2 linked regions of the Macaca mulatta genome follow. The protein of the gene in region 2 purifies or fractionates together with the protein of the main gene of each other region. This does not show direct contact. Links are inferred from orthologs where the notes say so. Each region holds a gene or a part of one and is shown on either strand. Other genes may lie near its edges. The genes, in order: DNAJB11 and PTPRO.

Region 1 (11,616 bases), on a different chromosome or scaffold from region 2:
CCTCTCTCAGACACTAACACATTGCAGATGGGTGAATTACTCACTGTGAAAAAATGTCTCCATGGGAGCTCTGATGGCCATCCTTTAATCCTTCTTCACCATAAGTATCGTACTGTTTCCGTTTCTCACTATCTGACAGAACCTGGGGATAAAAACCAGTGGAGAAAAAGATCACAAGCTGGTAATATCCAGTTAAGGCACAGTCATATTTATGTTTGTTTTTACTTTGACAATGGGTCTAAAATTCTAACAGAATGTAGTTTCCATTATGTACTGTATTAAGGCATATTTACAAAGTTATTTTCTCTAAGACTAAATTCTTTGATGCATTGTTCATTCCACATTGCTCAATTCATGTTTTTAAGTTAAAGTTGTCAAAACTCGCCTAGTCACTAAAAAATAATACCTGAGATTAGTAATGCAGCTGTGAAGGTCAGAGTGGTAACAGGAAAGAGGTAAGATGGATTCCTCAGGTTTACTTCCCATGCAGTTTGACTCTGGTGCTTATGCTGTTAACTACTATACTGCCTTCAAAACAACTTGGCCCCGCAGGTCTACAACACCCCCTACCCAACACACACACACACACACCCCCACACCCACACCCACACACAGAATTTCTGTCCCATAGGATCCCTGAGGTGTTGAAAGAAAGGACTCCAACAGCTCTTGGGTTCACCTGGGTATAACTCACTGTTTCAGTTCCAGTGCTTCAAAACAACTTGGCCCCACAGGTCTACAACACTCCCTACCCAACACACGCACACGCGCGCACACACACACACACACACACAGATGCACGTATTAGGAGATTGTCAAGTCAAGGAAATCAAATGACAGGCCCTCCAGAGAGGTCTATACTGATATCTTTTCCTCCTCCTTTTTTCATTTTTTGGTGTATGTAGAAATCCATTTGTGGAAGAATGCTGCCCGCCTTTTATACATATATATGTATAAAATAAGAATGGCAAAAGAACAATAAAGACATAATTCAATACAGTAGTTACCTGTGAAGGGAGGCAGGGTAATGGAACAGGGAAGTGGCATGTACGCAGATTAAGTCATGGTAATGTTTTACTTAGTTCTTAAGCTGGGTGATAAAACAATGACATCAGTGTATCATGAACCAAGGATTATAATTAATTCAATTTTGTGCATTTGATCACTCCCTCTTACCCTCAAAAAGACAGAGAAGGTACATATAAACCTCTTATTCTTAGTCAAAAGTACAAGTTCTGGGAGTATATGTAGATACGTAGAATGAAGCAAACACATACTTAAATGACTCAAATTCTAAAGCTGGAGAAGTAGAGACAGGAGTAAGAAAACAAGAGAACCGAAAAATAAAGTGTATGATATCAGCATTTCTAAGCCACAATTAAATGCTACTGAGTTAAAGTAGTTCATATAATGATTATCTTTTAAGAAATCCGAGCTGTATAAAGCATAACCCCTGAGGAACAATCACCGCCTTCAAAACCTGGTATGTGGCTACCATCCAATCCTCTGATTAACCTAATGAAAATGTCTCCTTATTTCAGAAAACTCAATCCAGGATTATTTCTGGAGCTATCTGCTCTTAATTTTCTTTTAAATATAAAAAATAAATTATGTTTCTTTATCCTTCACTGCTTCCTTCTGGGAGGTACCTCATTTTGATCTCCTAGCTTACTACTTCAGTCTTCAGCTATATCCATTCTAGTAACAACCCATCTGCTGTGTTTTAATTTCAACTCATATTTTTATGCATAATATTTCTACTTGATTCTTGCATTATTTCTTACTCTATATCATTTTACTAATGTCTTACCTCCTTAAGTATTATCATGCTTGTTTTAAGCTCTTGGTCTGTCTAATCTTTTTTTAGGCAAAGTACAATTGCTTAAAATATATGTGTTATTCAGTTTGTTGTCTTTTGTGGGGCAGATGATTGACCTTCTCAGGTATCTAGCTGTCTTGGCCTTTGAGCTGATATTCCCTTATGGATACCAGCAACTACCTTTCCCTGTAGAGCATCGTGGGCTGAGCCCTGGCCCACTGGTTTTAACTGTGTTTTGTTTGGTTTCTTGGGGTGTTTTTTGTTTTGTTTGCTGTCTGGAGTCTTTTTGTTCTCTGCAGTCAGGGGAAACAGTTCAAAACAGCCCTCTATCTGTGGGATTTTCTCTGGGAGTATATGAAGTATATGTATATGTGTATATCTATATATATACACACACACACATATATATACATGTTTAAGTTTGTAATGTCCTGAGTTTGAAATGCAGAGAAAGTAATAAGTGAAAATACTCTATGAAGGTTATTTAAGGTCAATTTCATTGCTTGAAATAATTCTTGAAGTTTTAAGTTTCAGTGAATTACATACACAATCATGACTAATGCTTCCTCTCTGTATAATATTAAAGAATGTAACAACAAAATAAGCTTCCATCCTTTTCGAAATTTGTCTTCAACATGCAAAAATTCTCTTTTATTTAGAGCAATCTGATATATATGCACATATATACTTGTGAAAATTAAATGGCTTTAAAATCTTCCTTTGATATTTATAAACTCCTACTTAGACAAGAGGCTGAAGGAGAGAGTTATTTCAAAACCATACTCACGGTGGCCCAGAAAAAGAGAGGTTCAAAGTAGATGGGGCTTGTTGACTTAAAAGAAAGGCATATTCACACAGTTTTGGCTTAGGGCCCAAATGAAGTGTTAGGAGTCATGGCAAAAAATGTATTAACATTTAAGATATCCTTGAAAGGATAAATAGAAATTGAATATACAAGAGAGTGAACATTCTTAAAAGCGAAGGCCAATGGGTTATTCCAGAAGTGACCACAGTACTTGATTAAAGCCACTATGATAGAAAAAGGGAGAGGAAAGAATGTTTTCACAAATATCTTTAGAAAATAGGTATTTTGGGGAAGCAGAAATGGGCACAGCTGACTTAAAAAAAAAAAAAACCCTTATTATTATCTGGATCTCCAATATTTTCACTTTTAGTCTACTTCTCTGATCTGATCTTGGAAAAGAAATGAACCCTGCATTTGAGACTATAAAAGACACCATTTCAAAACCCCCAAAGACTAGTTTTAAGTCAGTTTCTTTTTAGACATCAGAGGCTTCTGTAATAACCCCCTAAAAACTACTCATGAAGTCATTTATTATCATTCACTTCCTCCTCACTTTTCTTCCACCAAGGAATGCAATTTTATTCCATGGTCTTGGAAACTATTTTAAAAGAAAAAAGGTTTTTAGTTGATTGGCCAACCAATACACAGATTCTCAAGTAATTAAAATGCCAGCAGTAATCTTAGCTCTGTAGAGAAAACAAATTTGTATTCACAAAAGATTCTTCCTAACTGTACTCGGATTCTAATTTGCGAACACTAATTTACCTAAGACTAAAGGCAATCAAGCTTGAATGATAAAAAGAAAAAAGAAATTTAAACTAGTGGCTAAAAGGGTTGTTATAGTTAAATAAGCCATAATTTCATGATTGGCCTTTGTATAGTCTGCCTAGGTGATGGATAAAGAACATGAAGATTCTTTAGAGAGCATGGTAAATTCAGCTTCCCTAGAAAATGTTTTTGAGTATTGGGTTCCTAGCAAACAAGGGGAATATTCATGGAAAATACAGTACAAAATATGGAATCCATATTATCAACAAGAAACAAAATATTACATATAATTTAGGACAGGCCATCAGACTTCTGAAGTTTATTTATGTGCCTCCGGTTAAGAATTTCTGTCCCTTGGCCAGGCACGGTGGTTCATGCCTATAATACCAGCACTCTGGGAGGCTGAGGCAGTCGGATCAGGAGGTCAGGAGATCGAGACCATCCTGGCTAACACGGTGAAACCCTGTCTCTACTAAAAATACAAAAAATTAGCCAGGTGTGGTGGTGCATGCCTGTAGTCCCAGCTACTCGGGAGGCTGAGGCAGGAGAATGGCATAAATCCCAGGAGGCAGAGCTTGCAGTGAACGGAGATTGTGCCACTGCAGTCCAGCCTGGCAGACAGAGCGAGACTATGTCTTAAAAAAAAAAAAAAAAAAAAAAAGAGAGAATTTCTGTCCCATAGAATCCCTGAAGGTATTGAAAGAAAAAGGACCCCAACAACTCTTGGGTTCACCTGGGTATAACTCACTGTTTCAGTTCCATTGTTTCTTTTTTTTTTTTTTTTTTTTTTTGGAGACAGAGTCTCGCTCTGTTGCCCAGGCTGGAGTGCAGTGGCCGGATCTCAGCTCACTGCAAGCTCTGCCTCCCGGGTTTACGCCATTCTCCTGCCTCAGCCTCCCGAGTAGCTGGGACTGCAGGCGCCCGCCACCTCGCCCGGCTAGTTTTTTTGTATTTTTTAGTAGAGACGGGGTTTCACGGGGTTAGCCAGGATGGTCTCGATCTCCTGACCTCGTGATCCGCCCGTCTCGGCCTCCCAAAGTGCTGGGATTACAGGCTTGAGCCACCGCACCCGGCCTCCATTGTTTCTTTAATCTAAGAGATCTTGGGATTCCTTCCTTTCAAGGTTTATGTCTTCCTAAAATACTTTTCAATTTGTTTTTAGCCTTCTCAATATATAAGAATTTAAACTTAAATTCGGGAGTTTTAGCTCTATGACTTTTAGTTCAACTAATTTTTTTCTGTGTCCATTTAGAAAATGAGAATAAAAATATGCCTAGCTCTAATGTATTTCCTGGTGTCCTAGTGAAGGTTAAATGAGATGATACAAATGGAGAGTGTTTTGGTCCCCAGATTAGAGGTTGGAAAATCAAATTAAAACTGTGCTTTGTTTGATCTACGTAAAAAAGAAATTTAACTGAATTAGTTACCAACATTTTTACAAGCAGAACTTATATAAAAGTCTAGATTTTCAACTTTTCTGGAAAAATTAAATCATCTAGGAACATACTGTTTGCATTACTATGACAAAAACTGGCTAGGGTTGAGGTAACAGCTGCTCCCTTGAAATGGGGCCAGAAGGCTTCAATTTGTCAAAGCCCTCAACAATCCTTATTGCTTCCCAACATGGAGGCAGAATATCTGCTGTCATGTTTTAATTTATACCTGCCCTGCATGTTATTTGTCTAGTTCATATGAACATGTAGGTTTGCAACTCTCATGAAGGCTTTCTTTTTATTTTTGGTCTAGCTCCCGAACTGACTGACTGACAGACCAATCAATTGATCTACTTATTAATCTACCAATCTTTCATTTATTCTTTTGCAGCATTATTCTCCTTCTTAAAATAAATATTAATATCAAAAGGCAGAAAATGGTATCTACTAACATGAATGTAATATCTAGTACAATACAGTATCAAGTACTACTTTTACTTTCATCTACCATCTACTTTTAAATAAAAGTGACCTGGGCTGGGCGTGGTAGCTCACACCTGTAATCCCAACACTTTGAGAGGCCGAGGCGGGCGGGTCACTTGAGGTCAGGAGTTCGAGACCAGCCTGGCCAACATGGTGAAACCCTGTCTCTACTAAAAATACAAAAATTAACCAGGCGTGGTGACATGCACTTGTAATCCCAGCTACTCGGGAGGCTGAGGTGGGAGAAGTGCTTGAACCGTGGAGGCGGAGGTTGCAGTGAGCAGAGATTGCACCACTGCACTCCAGCCTAGGCAATAAAGTGAGACTCAGTCTCTAAATAAATATATGTGAGCTGAAAAGAGTATTTCTCTGTATTGTATATTTTTTCTAGAGCTACAGATCTTATTTGTTCTTTATCACTTTTCCTGACTCACCTCATAAGCAGCACCCAGATCCTGGAATTTCTCCTGGGCTTGTGGATCATCAGGGTTCCGGTCGGGATGAAGCTGTAGGGCTAGTTTCCTATAGGCCTTTTTAATATCCTTTATAGAGGCACTTCGAGGCACCCCCAAGATCTTATAGAAGTCTCGTCTGGGAAGTAGAGGGAGAGAATACTTCATCAGAGTTACATGTTACATTTTTAAAAGTAAAAGATTTATTTTTCCTCTACATTTAGGTTTGTATCTGAGCAAAGAGGTACGAAAGTGAACGTTTATGTGACACATATACACACAAAGAATGACTAAAAAGAGAACACCAGAATTTGTAATGAATCTTATATATTGAAGTAATTACAGTAAGAAGCTACATACTTCTTTTTAGATTATTCAAAACATCTGTGGCATCTTCTTTCAGAACCACCTTCAGTCAAGAAAACCACTTCCTTATTTTATGGTCTCATGTTATCTTTAGGCAATAACCATATAATCAAATTAACTCTTCCCCCCTTTCTCTACATTTGCTCCAAATGATTTTGACTTTTCTAAAAGTCAAATAACACTCTCAAGGGATGATTTTCCTTATTTAAAAAGATTATGCCACATAAATGTCCTAACAGTAGCATTGCCAGAATGTTAAAGACGAAGCAACTTAAGACAATAAATAGCTCAAGAAGCTGGGAAGCACAAGGGCTCTCCAAAGGGTCTTCTTGTTCCCCTCCCCATCCAATTTCCTTCAGTCCCAACTCGGCCTGGCATCATCCACCCACTTTAATGTCAGCCCCCCAATGGCTCTTCGCAGGCTTGGCATAGAGCATCGTCCGCTTCTCCAGCTCAGCGGGGCACAGCAACCCACCTCTTTGATCAAACAAACGTCCATCCCCCCAACCTCAGCCTAGCACTGTCACTACCTTTCCTTACAGTCAGGCATCCCTCTTTCTTCCCCCAGCTCTACGTGACAGTGCTCCAGCTCACAACCACCTTCTTTCCCTCATCCCCCAAATGCCGTTGGCAATGCATCCACCTCCCACTCCTCCGGGCAAATCTAGCTCTACCAAAGACCTTCTCTGGACCTAACGCCTTCTCACTGGTGTCACCTACGGTTCGCTTCTCACCCCACTAGTCTGGCCCATACTACCCCTTCCTCCGCCACCCCGCCAACCCACAGCGATGCCCCTCTCCACTCCCTCAGTCTGCAATACCACTTCCCCCACCCCCTCCCACCCCCTAGCAAAGGCTGACCCCCGGGCCCCGCTGTCTGCGAGTGTCTATTCCTCACCCGGCAATCACGGCCCCGATGAGGTACAGTAGCAACAGGCAAAAGGTGCTCAGGTTCTGCGGAGCCATGGTTCCTCTGTCCCGGGTCTTGTCCCACACACTCCTCACAGCCTCCTCCGCCGCCGCGTCGGCTCGCCAGCCCACCCAGCGCTGTGAGGCGCCTCACACCGGTGGGCGGGGGGGTCTCCTCCTTGGTCCGCAGAGACAGCTAGCTAGCCCCCTCCTTTTCCAGTCCACTTCCCGGGAGTCCCAAGTCCCGGTGAGAGAAGACCCCGGTAAGCGAGAGCCAATCGTTGCCCGGGACATCACACGCGGCCGGCGCCTGAAAGCCAATCAGCGCAGTACACTTCACCTCCGAGGCGGCACGCGTAGCCAGTTAGGCTTCAGAACTGCAGTCGCAGATCTTGACCAATTAGAAGAGGAGACGTCAGAGGGTCGCGCCGCTGCAGGAACCCGCTCTGCCCGAGCTACCCCGAGTCGTAGAAAATTACGTAATGGTAGGGGGCTGGTCCGAGTAAGGGCACCTGAGGTACACGAAATCCTCCTCGACTCACCCACTTCCTCGAACTTTCCACCAATCAGGAGGCTCCTCCCCAGCACCAACCAATTGTGGGAGAGAAGTTTTCTCTGTGTTTCAAGTTTGGAATTTCATTCATACCCAGCTACGCGCCGAATGCGGGAGCAGAATGAGGGAACAGCGGCAGAATGAGCGGGGACGGTTATTCCTCAACTGTACATCGGACGCATTGCTTAGGACTCTTATTTTACGTTCTCCAAGCAACTCCATAAGTCTCGGAAAGGCGACAGTGATGATTGACCGACTTAAGTGCGGATTCGGCTTGCACCGCTTCTCAGTGGTGAGACTCCTTACTCCTTCCCTCCTCCTAAGTCTGAGCCTAAGTTTCTTTATCAACAAAACTAAGGCAAAGCACTTATTGGCAGTTCTGTGAATTTTAACAGGGAAAAAAAATCTGTAAATCGCCTGGCGTATAGTAAGCAGGCAATGAATAAAAACCATTATTACTGTTCGAGCATAAGTCTTTGATTCCCCGTCTTCCCCCCCGATTTTGCTCATCACAGTTACACAACACCTAGTTGATCAGGACAAAGCTCTAGGTGTTTTTACTCCTTTCATATATAAGCTATCCAAATCTTTACCTCTGAACTATACTTGAATCTGTTCACTACATCTCCATTACTAGGTCTCTGGATCACAGTGTATCTCTCACCTGGCCAGGGCCTCCTAACTGGCCTCCTTGTCTCCACTCTTAATATCTTCCTTAATACCTTCATATATGTTGCTCATCCCTGTCCCTCACTCCTTTTTTTTTTTTTTTTTTTTTTTAAGGGCCGGGCGCGGTGGCTCACGCCTGTAATCCCAGCACTTTGGGAGGCCGAGATGGGCGGATCACCTGAGGTCAGGAGCTTGAGACCAGCCTGGCCAACATGGTGAAACCCCGTCTCTACTAAAACTACAAAAATTAGCAGGGTGTGGTGGCGAGCGCCTGTAATCCCAGCTACTCGGGAGGCTGAGGCAGGAGAATTGCTTGAACCTGGGAGGTGGAGGTTGCAATGACCTGAGTTCCTGCCACTGCACTCCATCCTGGGCGACAGAGTGAGACTCCATTTCAAAAAAAAATAAATACATAAAAAATAAAAGTCAAATCATGTCACTCCCCTGTTTAAAAGCCTGGAATGGCTCTTCATTTGCACTTAGAATAAAATCCCAGCTCTATGCTAGTTTACAAAGCCGTTTATGCTTTGTCCTCTCACCTATTATGCTCCTAACCATGTTCCAGCAAAACTTGCTTCCTTTCTTTTTTGTATACACCAAGCACATTCCTGCCGAAGGCCTTTGTGTTAGCTGTTCCCTTTGCCTGAAACGCTGTACTCTCCCTCATGTCTTACCATGGGTGATTCCTTCTTTAACTCATGTATCAGCTTAAAGGTCACCACCTCAGAGAAGACTTCCCTGACCAATCAATCAAAATTAGCCCCTACTGAGCTCTTACTCTTACACCACCCTGTTTTCTTTTTTCTTTTTTTTTTTCTTCCTGAGACAGAGTCTTGCTCTGTTGCCCAGGCTGGAGTGCAGTGGCGCAATCTCGGCTCACTGTAACCTCCGCCTCCCGGGTTCAAGCGATTCTCCTGCCTCAGCCTTCCGAGTAGCTGGGACTCCAGACGCACACCACCGTGTACGTCTAATTTTTTTGCATATTTAGTAGAGACTGGGTTTAACCATGTTGGCCAGGCTGGTCTTGAACTCCTGACCTCAAGTGATCCAACTGCCTCAGCCTCCCAAATTGCTGGGATTATAGGCATGAGCCACCGCGCCCGGCCTCCTATTTTATTTTCTCATCCCTGGTCCCTAGACTGCACACACTGTAATGCCAGTTTCATGAGAGCATGAATCTATATTGTTCTGTTCACAGCTGTATAAGACAGCACCTTAGAACAGTGCCTGGCATGGAGTAGGTGCTGAAGTATTTTTGAGTAAAAGTTACTTGGATGGTGATCATTGCATGGCTGGCTTCTTATTCTTCAGGCCTCGGCTCAAATTTGGCACTACAACGTGGCCTTCCCTGACCCCCCTCCCCCAATTTTCATAGCATTTACCGCTATCTGAAATTATCTCATTTTACTCCTTAATATGTATTGTCTATTCTCCCTGTTACACACTCCAAGAAAGCAAGGACCTTGTCTATTTTGTTCACTCCTGTCATTCTAGTATCTACCACTGTGCCAGACACACAGTGGTACTCAACAAATAACAGCAAGGTCACTGAGCTAGTAAGTGGCGCAGCCTGGATCCTAACCCAGGTCTGTGTAAATTTGAAGCCCCTGCTTTCAGGAAGATACCCAGTAGGGACAATGGAGGAACTAAAAAACAAAAGAGGAACTAAATTGCATTTTATGGTCTAAATTACCTTTGTATATTTAGGTGTGTACCTAAGTAGGCCATAAACGAACTAAAAAAAGAAGGAAACTTTCAGAAATCCTGAAATGGAAGTTTAAAGAAAGGAGTGATGGCTTCTGCCCGGCAATCTGAAAAAGCTTCATGAAAGTGGAACACGGAGGAAAAGCTAACAGAGATAAGGAGTTGACACTGAGGGGCTGTAGGGAGTGCCAGTCTCGCTTCAGACGCCCTGGGTTTGAATCTTGGCTCCATCTCTTGTGTGACTTTAGGGTTCTGTTACTTTCACCTTTCTACGCCCTAGTTTCTTCATCAGTAAAACTAATGTACTTAAAGGGCTCTTGAGAACACTGAGGAAATATAAAGTTGCTTTACACAGTGCTGAGACCATAGTAAGCGCTCTATAAATGCAAACTGCCATTAGTAGTATTTCTGATGAAAGCGTGCTGATCTTACCAGCAGCTATTGGCTGACCACAGTTATGTGGAGCAACAGAAAGCTTCCTACTCCCCCTGGGTTGAAAGGTGCAACACCAGAAAGTGGTGTGTCTGGCTCCTGGTGCCACCGTCGCGGACTCTCGGTCCCAGCCCGGATTTTCTCAGGCGCTTAAACCTCAATCTGCCGCTCTAGCAATGGGGTCCGCCAGTTCTCAGTGGTGCGGGGCCTCGCGCTTGCGCAGTGGGCACGGCGGCGGCGGCGCGCGGGAGGGGCGGGCCCAGCGAGCGGACGCGGGTTGCGGCGGCGCGCGGAGAAGTGCGGCGGAGCGGCGCCTGCCTTAGCAGGTAATCGCGCACGGGCTGGCGCCGGGGAGGGAGGTGTGGGTCAGTCAGGCTGCAGGCTTGGGCCGAGGAGGCTGCCTTCGCGCTCGCCGCGTCTCGGGTCAGCTACCGACTCTGTCAGTGTGGGTGTCTGTGTTCCTGAAGTCTCGTCGCGACGCTGGGGCGGCCCACGCAGAGTCCCACCCGGGATCAAGTCCAGGGTGGCAGCGAAGCCCCAGTACAACTGCCTTAGACCCACACCGATCTTCCGACCTGAAAATCCTTAACCCCAGCGCACCGCCAGGGTCAGAACCCATGTTTGTGTTTGTTTACGGGTTGAGCCCTCTCGACTCTCGGAGTTAGAATGGAGGGCTCATTCCTGGGATCTGGCTGTTGACAGGGGCTCAGTACCTCACAGAGCAGCCTCTTTACGTTTTGGAGAGAACCGAGGTCTTCCTCGCCTAACTTTTATCGTCTGGTTTTACTCAAAACGACGCCAGTCTCTCCACATTGGAAGACAGCTGCCTTTTGCCCTTCCACGCCCATCTTTTGAGTTTACACTCTCTGATTCTTTCACCTGGCGTCCTGTCTAAGGCTCTTTATTCTGGAAATTCTCTTCTGGATCCACTCCCGTTTTTAAGAGATTCTCCCAAAACTGGATTCCTAGAGTACATTTGTAGTAATGCAGTTCTCAAGTCGACCCGAATCCTAATCCAGGGCTGTGCCAGCTAAGTAGGTGTCCTTACGGAAATCTCTTAATTTCGCTAAGCCTCATTTTTTTCATCGAAAATGTGTACAGTCTTAAGTACTGTATCTCCAGGTAGTTGTGAGGGTGAAAGGGGGTGAAGTATGCAAAATGATTAGCATGCTACCTGGTACATAGTAAGCACTTGATTGATGTCAGTTATTTTTCTAAACAGA
Region 2 (11,117 bases):
GGTTATCCTTTTCTGAAAGCAATTTTTATTCTTTGCCTTCTGGTTTTTCTTTCTACTGATCAGAGGCACATTTAACTCCTGATAGGGTAGGTTACTGATTTTTGACCTCTATACTTCCAGTAAACATAGTCAGTTTAGCTAAACACGTTATAGAGGCTGGCACTGTTTGTGCAACCTTCAGAGGCTAGCTTTTGCTGTGCTGTGACCCTTATGGAATTGGTAGAGGCCACCCTAGGACTTGACATTGGGCTTTTAGGTTGCTCTAGCTATGGCTTTTTCCACCAATTTTATGGAGACCACCTGGGTGTACTTGAATCTTTGTCTTTCTTTTGAGCTTCGCAAGCTCAATACTCTAATGAGATTTTTCATAGTCCTATAATGTCATTTCCTTATGGCCTCAAGCAAATGTCGTATTTCCCAAACTGTATGTCCACATCCTTGGAGGGTTTGTTATGGCTAATGTGGAAGGTCAGTTTAATAAATGTTCAATTATCACAATAGTGAAAAGAATCCTCAAGTTAAACCCGTGGATAGGATTGCTACTATTAAATATGCATATATTTCCTCTGCTGTCCAAAGCTTGTGGATCTCAGCCTCTCCTGATCTTGAAGACTTCTCCGCATCTCTAAGGTTTGTGAATAGTTGACATCTGAGCATCAATAATCTCACCAGTTCCATTGTTCTAGCTCCCCAGTAAGTGTAAAGTGATCTCTTTGTTACTTACTGATATAAAAGCTGAGTGATTTTGCTGACTGACTTTTTCGAGTTTCACAAGATCCTGAGGAACTAAAGGTTGTCACAGATAACTTATATTTCCCAGGTTCCTTCAGTTCTGCAACAAATTCATGTGCTTCTTCATCCACCGTCAAATATTCAGTAAAGTTCTCTAAATCATATAAAAAAAAGAGAAGATATATGAATTGACGCCTGGAAAGGCCCTGGGTATAGACAAGTCAATTAATGAAAAAAAATAATTAGGTATTTTAAATGTTCCCTCCTTTTGTCAAGTTCAGTTACACCTCTAAACTAAAGGTACTATTAAAGAATATAAGTAAGAGTTCAATATTTTTACAACCTTCCAAATAACAAAACTCAAATATGGCATTCGAATCAATAAAACTAGGGATGGGTCTACACTGTGTATCTTTATGTACTCCTACCCAACAAAATTATGTTTACAAAACAGAAGTAGATAGTCAGGAAAAGATAACAATTATTGGCTTCCTCATCACGAGGTAAGGGCTAAAAAATAACCAGCATCAAATATCTTGTAAGTTCTTTGTGGTAGTATTAACCATTCAGAAGTGCTTTAACATTTATTTAAAATACATCTCATTTTTTAAGATATATTTTCTGATGTACCCCAGAATTTAAAGTAAAATTTAAAAATAATAATCATGGTAATATTTTTCCTTCATCCATTTGCTTTCAAATCTTCTTAAAGAATTATTTCACATTGCATCACAGTCCATCCATCCTCTGCTGCTTATTACTTCATTTGAAGTCATTATCATCAGTTGGTGACTACAACAGCCTTCAAAAGAAGACACTGTAGTCAGATAAATGCATAATAGAACCTTCATGAGAAGAGGCAGTAAAAAAATTTTGTAATGACAAGATCCTATTTGCCATAGGAACATATTTAGGAACAGAAAAATAAAAGACGATTAGGGAAACTTTAAAAAAATGTAGGCAATTCCAAGAAAATGACTTTTGACTCAAATAATTAAGAATTTTCATTTTATGTGTTATTTGGTTATGGTTGAATGCTGCATCATCTTGTATAGAAGAATCCACAGATTTTTGTTGTATCTCATGCTATTAAGTAAAATAGGAGTAAACAATATGTCAGTATATGAGACTACATGGGCCTTAAACTCTCACCCTAAAAATAAGGCTATCATCGTAACTTCAAATTTTTACAAATTATAACCTCTGCCACTCAAACTACTAGACCAGAAAATGGAAAATGAAGTATATTATTGTAAAAACTAAACAAACAACAAATAACCATAAAAATCTACCAAACAACAATTGAGATAGGTATCATGACCCAAACTTGTTGAAAGTCATGGCTCTACTTTCCTAAGTTAGTGGGCTATAAAGAATGAATCTCAGATGCTGAGTTAGTCAATGCAAAATGTAATATAGTAGCTATATGGAAATGTCAGTAGCTGTGTATTTTCCATGTTACTATCAGCTTCTCTTTGGAAAACTATGGTGCTTGTTCCAGAGGGACATACCCTAAAGGGAACAAGAGTAGCTGGTTAGCAGGACACAAGCCTCATATTCTTGAGGAAAGTAGTAATGTGTTCATAAGTATTACTTTGCTGCCATGTTTAAAAATTTGCATATGAGAAAACAGGAAATTTCTCTAGGATATGCTGTAATGTTCTGGGATAGTTAGATCTTTGATTCAAAATATTTCCAAATATGATGTTTTCCTAATTGTTCTGAGACATGAGAAATATCAGGCAGTAAAATATATACAGTTGGCAGTACTCACAACTTGTGAATCACCCAAACCTTCTGATTCTTACCCAGTCTATTCATTTGGATTTTCTGCTCTGTCTGCATTGGATACCCAATTACATTCTTCCCTTTCTTTACCATTATTCTCTGGAGATTTGAGTGTCTATGATCAGTGTTTCTAAACTCAAATTTAAAAACAGTTCAATTCCCCTTCCTTTGTATCAGTTCTTATTTCCTCTGATTTCCTACTGCTTTACCTTCTCGTTCAATATGGATATGGAAGCCATCAAAAGCAGTGGGTGGTTTGGGTGGTAACCAGGTCAATATCATTTGCACAGGGGAAAAGGAGAAAGAGCCTGATGTTGACTTCTCTGTCTCACTGAGTGTACTGTTATTTTCGTATTCCATGGGAAGTACGCTGACAAATTCATCTTCACTTTCAGGAGTTGCAGATGCACTGTCCCACCAATATGGCTGAGACGTAGTTTCATAGTCACTGCTATTAAAATCAGGCCAACCGGAAGAAGTGTTGCCCGAGGGAATTTCAGGGGTTTCTTCTGTAAAATGGAAGAGTTTTTCTTTTCCTATTGTATCTTGTGATCTCATGAAGGATTCCTCTGGGAAATTACCACTCTGTTCTTCCCAGTTGTTTTTGTTCAAGTTTACGATACGAACGGAAATATTCTGAGGTGGATAAGGGGCTGTAAGAGAGAGAATTTTCATTTTCAAGTAATTTTTAATTCAATTAGAGTGAATACTTAATCTCTTAATGAGTCAGGGACAAAAGCAGATTTTTAAAAATGGAATTTAATTTTACTTCTAATACACAGACAAATTTACGTCAAGACAAACTGCGTTTTTCTCCATATATATACTTCTAACATTTTGTGGATGATGTGTACCTGTTAACATACCACTAGTCACACTTCAAATATATTAACTTGCAATATTATGCTTGTTGAAGTGGTAATTTAACCACTTCTAAAAGCAGAGTATGTAAATATTTTTCAGTTTATCATAATCTCACTTACAAAAAAATGTATCTGTGTTCCTGGATTTTTATTACAAAGAAAAAACAAGTATAGTGTACTTATAGCTATGAAGATGAAAATACTCCATGTGACATAGTTGCACCTAGGAGAGTTGCATGCGTGTGCTGCCTTTAGAGATGTTAACACACATGTTAGAAATATGGCTTCACTCCTCACCTCTCTAAAATGAAACATATAAGCACAAAATGAGTTCATAAATTATGGAAGCACACTTACAGGGAGAAAACTACAAAGACACACTGCATAGTCTCTGCCTATAACAGTTTCTACTTGGCCTTCAAATAGCAGTTCAATTATCACCTCTTCCATGAATTTTTTTTTAATTTTTTTTTTTTTGAGGCGGAGTCTCGCTCTGTCACCCAGGCTGGAGTGCAATGGCGCGCGGTCTCGGCTCACTGCAACCTCCGCCTCCTGGGTTCAAGCGGTTCCCCTGCCTCAGGCTCCCGAGTAGCTGGGATTACAGGCACCAGACACCAAGCCTGGCTAATATTTGTATTTTTAGTAGAGACGGGGTTTCATCATGTTGGCTAGGCTGGCGTCAAACTCCTGACCTCGGGTGATCCACCCGCCTCAGCCTCCGAAAGTGCTGAGATTACAGGCATGAGCCACCGTGCTAGGCCCCATGAACTTCTAATAAAAATTTCTCTCTCCTTCGTGCTGTTAAATAACTTTGTACCTCTTTTATAATATTTATCTCATTCTGCCTTGTATTAGTGCCACTTGTGTATTACGAGTACCATTTTTTTGAGGACAAGGATCCCGTCTCATCAGTGTTTGTCTTCATGTCTCAGTACTTAGAACAAATTCCAGGTAGAAGGTGCTCAATTAATGTTTTTCTACTTACATTGAATAATGAAAAACATAAATAGAATCTTAAATGTTGACATCGGTGAATTAGTGATTTAGCTGAAATAGTTTCCTGGTCTTGGACTAATGAATAAGAATCATGATATCTTAGAATTTCAAATTGTCAAGACCTTAGAAGTAATCTATCATAATCCTTTCCTGATGCTCATCAGAATGGCCTCTCCAGCTTTCCTATTGAATATGCAGGCACATTGGGCCCATACGATGTTGCTTATATTGGTGATGGGTACTTAGTAGATATATGCTTATTTTACCCATTCATTCTTCCATCCGTACATCCATCCATCCATCCATCCATCCATCCATCCATCCATCCATCCATGCATCTATCCATCCATCCTACAATAGTGCTTTATATTAGTGGTGTTACTAAAATTAAGCACTTCAAGTTTGAGATACATTTGAATTTCAATATTTTCCTTTAATAATCTGATAAACTGTACTAGAATGTCTTCTAGTTTTTTCTGCCATAGGGCTACTTGTCAGTAATAACTGATGTCTACTAGATCTGGGTAAGTTTTACTTAATTATAACCTTTGGTAATAATATAGTAGTTTTTATTCAAAGATTACAAATCTATGATTGCATTGACATATTTTAGATTTTTCTTATTGAATGTTTTGCCCAGTTCTTTTTACATTGATATAAAATCTGTTTTAGGTTATTAAACATATGCATTTTCTTTCTTTGCTCTGGATCAGAATATTTCTTAGGATAAAAAATAAATATACAGCAAAATATAACTGAATTATTTTTTCACTGTATTTGATTCTTCAGGAGACTTACCAGTTCTGTGCTGTTTGGGTTCATGACTGACACCACTGTACTCAACAAGGGTACTTTTATTAAAAGTTGCCTCAGATACCAGCTGAAAGGTGATATTACTATAACACATTCCTGGCAGCCAGTGATTAAATACTGTTTTTCCCTTAAAGAAATCTGTGAAGAGAAAATCAATTACATGAAAAATATGGTCTTCTAAATGTCACACACTTCTGGAAAGTTTGAAACAATTATGGTTAAACATTCACAACATAATATTTCCTTCAACTACTGTTATGGTCAATAATAAAGAGTTAGTAGAAGGCTAGAGACAAAACGTTGAATGTTTAGACTCAATCCTGAAGGACTTTTTCTGACAAAATTCCTAAGGAAATCGAACACAGTTGGAGTTAACTTTTTATGATAGGAACTTTTGGGGTATGTATTAATTGAAGGAGATAATATAAAGAAATTGTAGACGTTAAGTTTACACTGGCCATTTACTTTAAAATAAAAATCCAAGGTATTTTGCCATCTTATGACCTGAAAAAAAGCAATTTTACAAGAAAAGTTTTCATTTAGAAAAACTAGCCTAATTTAAAACTGGTTTATTTGCCAGTTTGAAGACAGAACCTGCCCAAAAAAAGAAATAATAGAAGTTTGGACTCCACTTAGAAAACTTTAAAGAGAATAACAATAAACTAAAAATCCAATCCGACTCAAAAGAAATGAGAGAAAAAACTAAAAATACCACTTATTGAATTGAAATCTAAAAATAGTTTGAAGAAGTAATAAGACGTAATTGACTTAAGAATGGGATTATATTATTTTAAAATTTATGATTAACAAAAGTTTCAGTAATTGCTTTTTAATCATTCATAAATATATTTGCATATGATCTATAAACAACTTTCCATTTATTAATTTGCAGATTATTTGTTTTCATTGTAAATAAACAACATAATAATTTGTGGAATTTATGTTTCTTTGATTTTTTCAAAGTTTAAAAAAACTAAATTCACTGCGTATATTTCATTTATTCATTCATTCATTCATTCATTCATTTTGAGATGGAGCCTTGCTCTGTCGCCCAGGCTGGAGTGCAGTGGTGTGATCTCGGCTCACGGCAACCTCTGCCTCCCGGGTTCAAGCGATTCTTCTGTCTCAGCCCCTGAGTATCTGGGATTACAGGTGCCCGTCACAACGCCTGGCTAGTTTTTTTGGTATGTTTTAGTAGAGACAGTGTTTCACCATGTTGGCCAGGCTAGTCTCGAACTCCTGAACTCAAGTGATCTGCCCACCTCGGCCTCCCAAAGTGCTGGAATTACAGACGTGAGCCACCACTCCCAGCCCCACTGCTTATATTTTAAATAATGTCTCGGAAAAAATAAATCCATGGAAGAAATGAGTGTGTAAAAGAAGCAAGTCAAAGTGACATTTTTCTGGATGTCATGCTCTGTGTGCTTCAATACTCTTTCTCTTCCCACCAATACATGTTTCCAGTTACAGTTAGCCAACTCTGGTAGCATTACCTACCTCCCACCCCCACCCGGTATGTCCTGAGAGTATTCAAGTTCCTTCACTAGGATTCACTCCCAAATGAAACTGAATGCCCTCTCTTCCCTCTCCCTCTAGCCCCTTCTACCCAGAGAAGTTGATTTTGTTCCTTTGACTAATTGAAGTATTGCTTCTCCTGGGCTCTTTTCTCTCCCTTCCCCACAAGGTTCCCATCAAGTGAGTAAAAAAGCAAAACTAATTTTTGTATGTTAATGTGTTCATTTAGCTAGTCATACAGCATCGCATTTGAGGATGCTGGATCATACCCAAGTGAAACTTTGCAAAAGGCACCGCTCTGGCTTCCCAGTCTCGGAAATGCCCATCTACCATACCCAGAAGGAAATGGTTACTTGTGCTTCTAAACTTAAGTCTGAATTTATTTCCTGCACCAGGCATGCTGCCTTAGGGAAGAGTAGCATGTAAGTGATAATAATTTGAGTATTTCTCATGCTGTACACATGACACCTGACTCTCAAGAAATGAACCAGATGTTCTAGGTTTCCTCATAGCATGATTTTCATAAGTCAATAATTATTTTTAATGGCTCATTTATAGGTCAAATAGTGAATTATAAAACCTCGTTGTAGTAAGAAAGAACATCATTTGGGAAAAGCTGCTAAAAATTGAGGGTCATCATTGATTCAGCCTTCCTTTTGCTGCTTACCTTTATATAGCATTGTCCGGAAGTCTTTACCTTCCCAGTAGCTAATGTTCACTCTTGTGAAAACGTTATATTTTTCTGGGTAATGAATTTCAAACAGGACTCCTGTTTCAGGAGAAGGTTTATAGTCATATATGGAAACACTGGTTACAGGTAGAGGTTCTACAGAAGTGAAGTAAATGGAGAAAGGGAAAAGAAAGAGGAGAGAGAAAGACTGGTATCAATACTTGAACGAACCAAGGATTACACCTACCAGAAATTCACACATATTTTCACTGTCTGTGGGCACTATACTCCTCAGTACCCATGAATTGAATGTTCTTAGCAGTAATTAATATAGTACATTTTATATAATGCTTTCTGCTTTTTGAAGAACTTTTACATTTATTTTTCCTTTTGCAACAGTCCTGATATCTAGGAAGAGCAAATATTAATATATCCTTCCCACTGATAAATATAATGATGGCTCACAGACTAAATTACTTGTTCAAGGTAATTTAACAAGTACATGACAGTCTGTATCTTCAGATTCCCAGTTTATTTTTCTTTTTCTCATGCGAAGGAAATTTGATATTAGTAACAGACCAGTAACAGAAAATAAATTTTGGCTCAGATCGATGATAGTTATATGATCATTTATTTCTTCGTGTGAGCATAGCACTTATTTTTCCATATGAAGTATAAAATTTTAAACTGTCCAATGTTGTAAAAAATATATGTTGTGGTGTTTCTCAAACTACTTTTTCTATAGAAGTTTAAAGAAAACATTTCTATTTTGCTTGAGTTATTCATTCACTGGAAAACTTTAAAAATACTCATTTTAAAAAATCCATTATCAATATATGTCTGCATTTCTTCCCACTCCCACTGTCCTGCAAATTTCTTGTAAATAATGCATTTTGCACCTTTCTGAAGAAGCTATTAAACAGATTTTACTTGTATGAATTTTATTAGTAAGATATGTTAAATAATTTCGTTTGGGGTCACCTGTAATTCCAGCATTTTGGGAGGCCAAGGCGGGCAGATCACCTGAGGTTGGGAGTTTGAGACCAGCCTGACCAAACAGAGAAACCCCGTCTCTACTAAAAATACAAAATTAGCTGAGCGTGGGGACACGCGCCTATAATCCCAGCTACTTGGGAGGCTGAGGCAGGAGAATCAGTTGAACGTGGGAGGCAGAGGTTGCAGTGAGCAGAGATAGTGCCATTCCACTCCAGCTTGGGCAACAAGAGTGAAATCTCAAAAAAAAAAAAAATGAAGATAAATAAAATTTAAAAGCTGTTGGAACCCCAAAAATCACTTTAAGCATGCAAAAGATATAACTGTGATCTGAGTCACATATAGTTATAACTTCTGTTCTCGAATTACAGATTAACTCACTTTATTTTTCTTTTTCTGTACAATGACTAGAGGGAATTAAATAACGTCAGGGACAAAAATCTCCTGCCTTCTTAATTAATGACCCTTGTTGTAGATTAACTTCCCCTCTTTGTTGTCCCACTTTGCTTAGGCTGGATGACAGAAAACCTATAAATCACTATCACACTCTGTGTAAAAAAAATGTTAAATGTCCCCTTCCCCAAAAGAAACACTGCTTACAACCAATGAAATTTCTGTTAACCAGGTGTCAACTTTGTATGAATACTTTTTTGTAATCCTGATAAAAACTTCTCTGTCTCTGCCTATAAGAAATGAGATCCCAGTTGCACTACTTCAGAGCACTGACTGAATGCTTTTGGAGTTGGTGTTTCCAGGTGGTCTAGCCTCACACTTTGTGCTTGAAAAAACTCTCTTTAAATGAGATGCTGACCCTTTTGACAATTTTAGATTGACAGAAAAAAATTTTTTGATTCACAGTTTCAGAATTGAGAGGATTCTTGGACATCATCTATAGCCTGACCTAAAGAAATATCCTTAGTTTAAATTTACATTCAAAAAATTTCAATTTCAATAACATGAGAACTCCAAATTTGACTTAGTTCATTCAATAAATAACTATTGAGTATCTAGTATGTCTCAATCTGTAGCGGGATATGTTTTATTTTGTTGCTCAGGGTATTACTCTATCTTTGCTATTGACTTTAAGAAACCCAGAAATAATTGAAGCTACATGTTAATGCTTTGATTTTTCCTGGAATTTTCTGAAAAACGAAGCCAACATCTACAAAAAAGTTAGGAAGACCTTCAGACTCCAGTGTATTTTATGATCATGTCACTGTACCCTATGTGCTATAGTCTCTGGTTAAAAGGTATGAATTTTATCTTTGTCTCATCCCTAGTCTTCCTACATGCAGGTAACATTTCAGAATGAACTCACGTACTCACTTATGTACCATGTCAACCAACCAAGCAACCAACCAACCAATCAACCAACCCTCGAAGACTCTGTTTTGAGTTCAAAACTCCCAAAGAAGTTTTGAATTGCTTCAAGTTCTTTCTTTCGACCCAGCCTAATTTACTAACCCATGGAGTCTACCAGATCCGGCTATTGACTCTGGCCCTAAGAGAACTAAAATGAAAGGAAACAGAAAAAGCAGCCACAGAGCAGTAACTCCTCCACTGTTGCAGTCCTGTTTCACATCCTCATCAGGGTTTCTTCTACTGAAAAGAGAAGTTAGAAGGGCACTTAATCTTTCATGACCTGAGGCATGAAGTCTACACATCAAAGCCACGGTCAAACTTTGAAATTCAAGACAGACAGGAGGATTAGAGAACAGATATTTTATTTTCCGATTTTTTTTTTCCTGCAACAAGCTACTTAAACTTTAAACTAAGAAAATGTCTTAAAATGCCTGTTTATATGTTTGTTTTATCTGTTTCCCTCAGCTTCAGTGTAAATGACCCAGGTCAGCTGTAAATCCTGTTGATGTCTAAGTATTACTGAGGAGTATTCAATCCAAGAACTACTGTTTTTAGAAGAACTCAAATGTATAGTATAAAAATATTTTACTATCTCGCCAGTGACTTCTCTCATTATCTTTCTTTTTAGAAATTAAGTGGTGTGGTATAAACCAGTGCTATACTTACTAACAGGCATTTCAGTGATGACAAAGTTAAATCCTAATCTAAGTCAATAGTCCTCACCTTGTCAGTCACTCCATTGTACTTCCCTTTCTTAGGACCAGCCTGGACTGGACAGAGAAATGGAGTTGTTGGACAAGGTGAATCATTTAATATCTTTGTTCATTACTTTCTTGTCCACAGATGTTTTAATTTTTCAATTAAATAAAGTCTTAGAAAATGTAGTTGAAATTCCCCCATGTAACTTACCCAAACCCCATTCTTTTCCCACCATGACCAGAAGTAAATTATTATTCTGAATCTGGTATTTATCTTCTCATGCATGTTTTTTAAACATGTATTTGTAAGTATCCAACATTGTTTCATGTTTTAAATTATTATGTAAATTATCATAACTATCCTGCAGCTTGTTTTTATTGTCTAACATTGTTTTAAGATTTATCACTCTTGATACAAGAACACCTAAAAATTTTATTTTAGTGTCCATTTTGCAACTATACAACCCACACAATATATACCTGTTATTATTTTAGTACAGTAATTGCTTTCAATTATTCACTCTTACAAATAATGCTGCAATAAATGTTTGCAGCATGTCTCTTTAGGTGGCAAATCCTGGATAGTAGGGTCTACACATCATCTGTATCAGATATTCTTAGAAAGTTTTCTAACTAGATTAGGGCAATTTACATATCTATTAGCAGTGTATGATAGTTCCTCTTTCT

What was found.
Region 1: the proteins of PTPRO (region 2) and DNAJB11 purify together in Homo sapiens (affinity purification with mass spectrometry; 3 studies listed by BioGRID and IntAct, with this or other methods). This does not show direct contact. The link is inferred for Macaca mulatta from reciprocal best matches to the Homo sapiens genes PTPRO and DNAJB11.

The regions. Positions count from the first base shown.
Region 1 is NC_133407.1:98,739,091-98,750,706, reverse strand, and holds the start of DNAJB11 (dnaJ homolog subfamily B member 11), read right to left. Parts: upstream 7,301-11,616; 5' UTR 7,093-7,300; coding exon 7,025-7,092; intron 5,900-7,024; coding exon 5,743-5,899; intron 143-5,742; coding exon 45-142; intron 1-44. UniProt on the Homo sapiens protein: As a co-chaperone for HSPA5 it is required for proper folding, trafficking or degradation of proteins.
Region 2 is NC_133416.1:17,947,094-17,958,210, reverse strand, and holds part of PTPRO (receptor-type tyrosine-protein phosphatase O), read right to left. Parts: intron 7,534-11,117; coding exon 7,375-7,533; intron 5,331-7,374; coding exon 5,178-5,330; intron 3,174-5,177; coding exon 2,730-3,173; intron 887-2,729; coding exon 725-886; intron 1-724.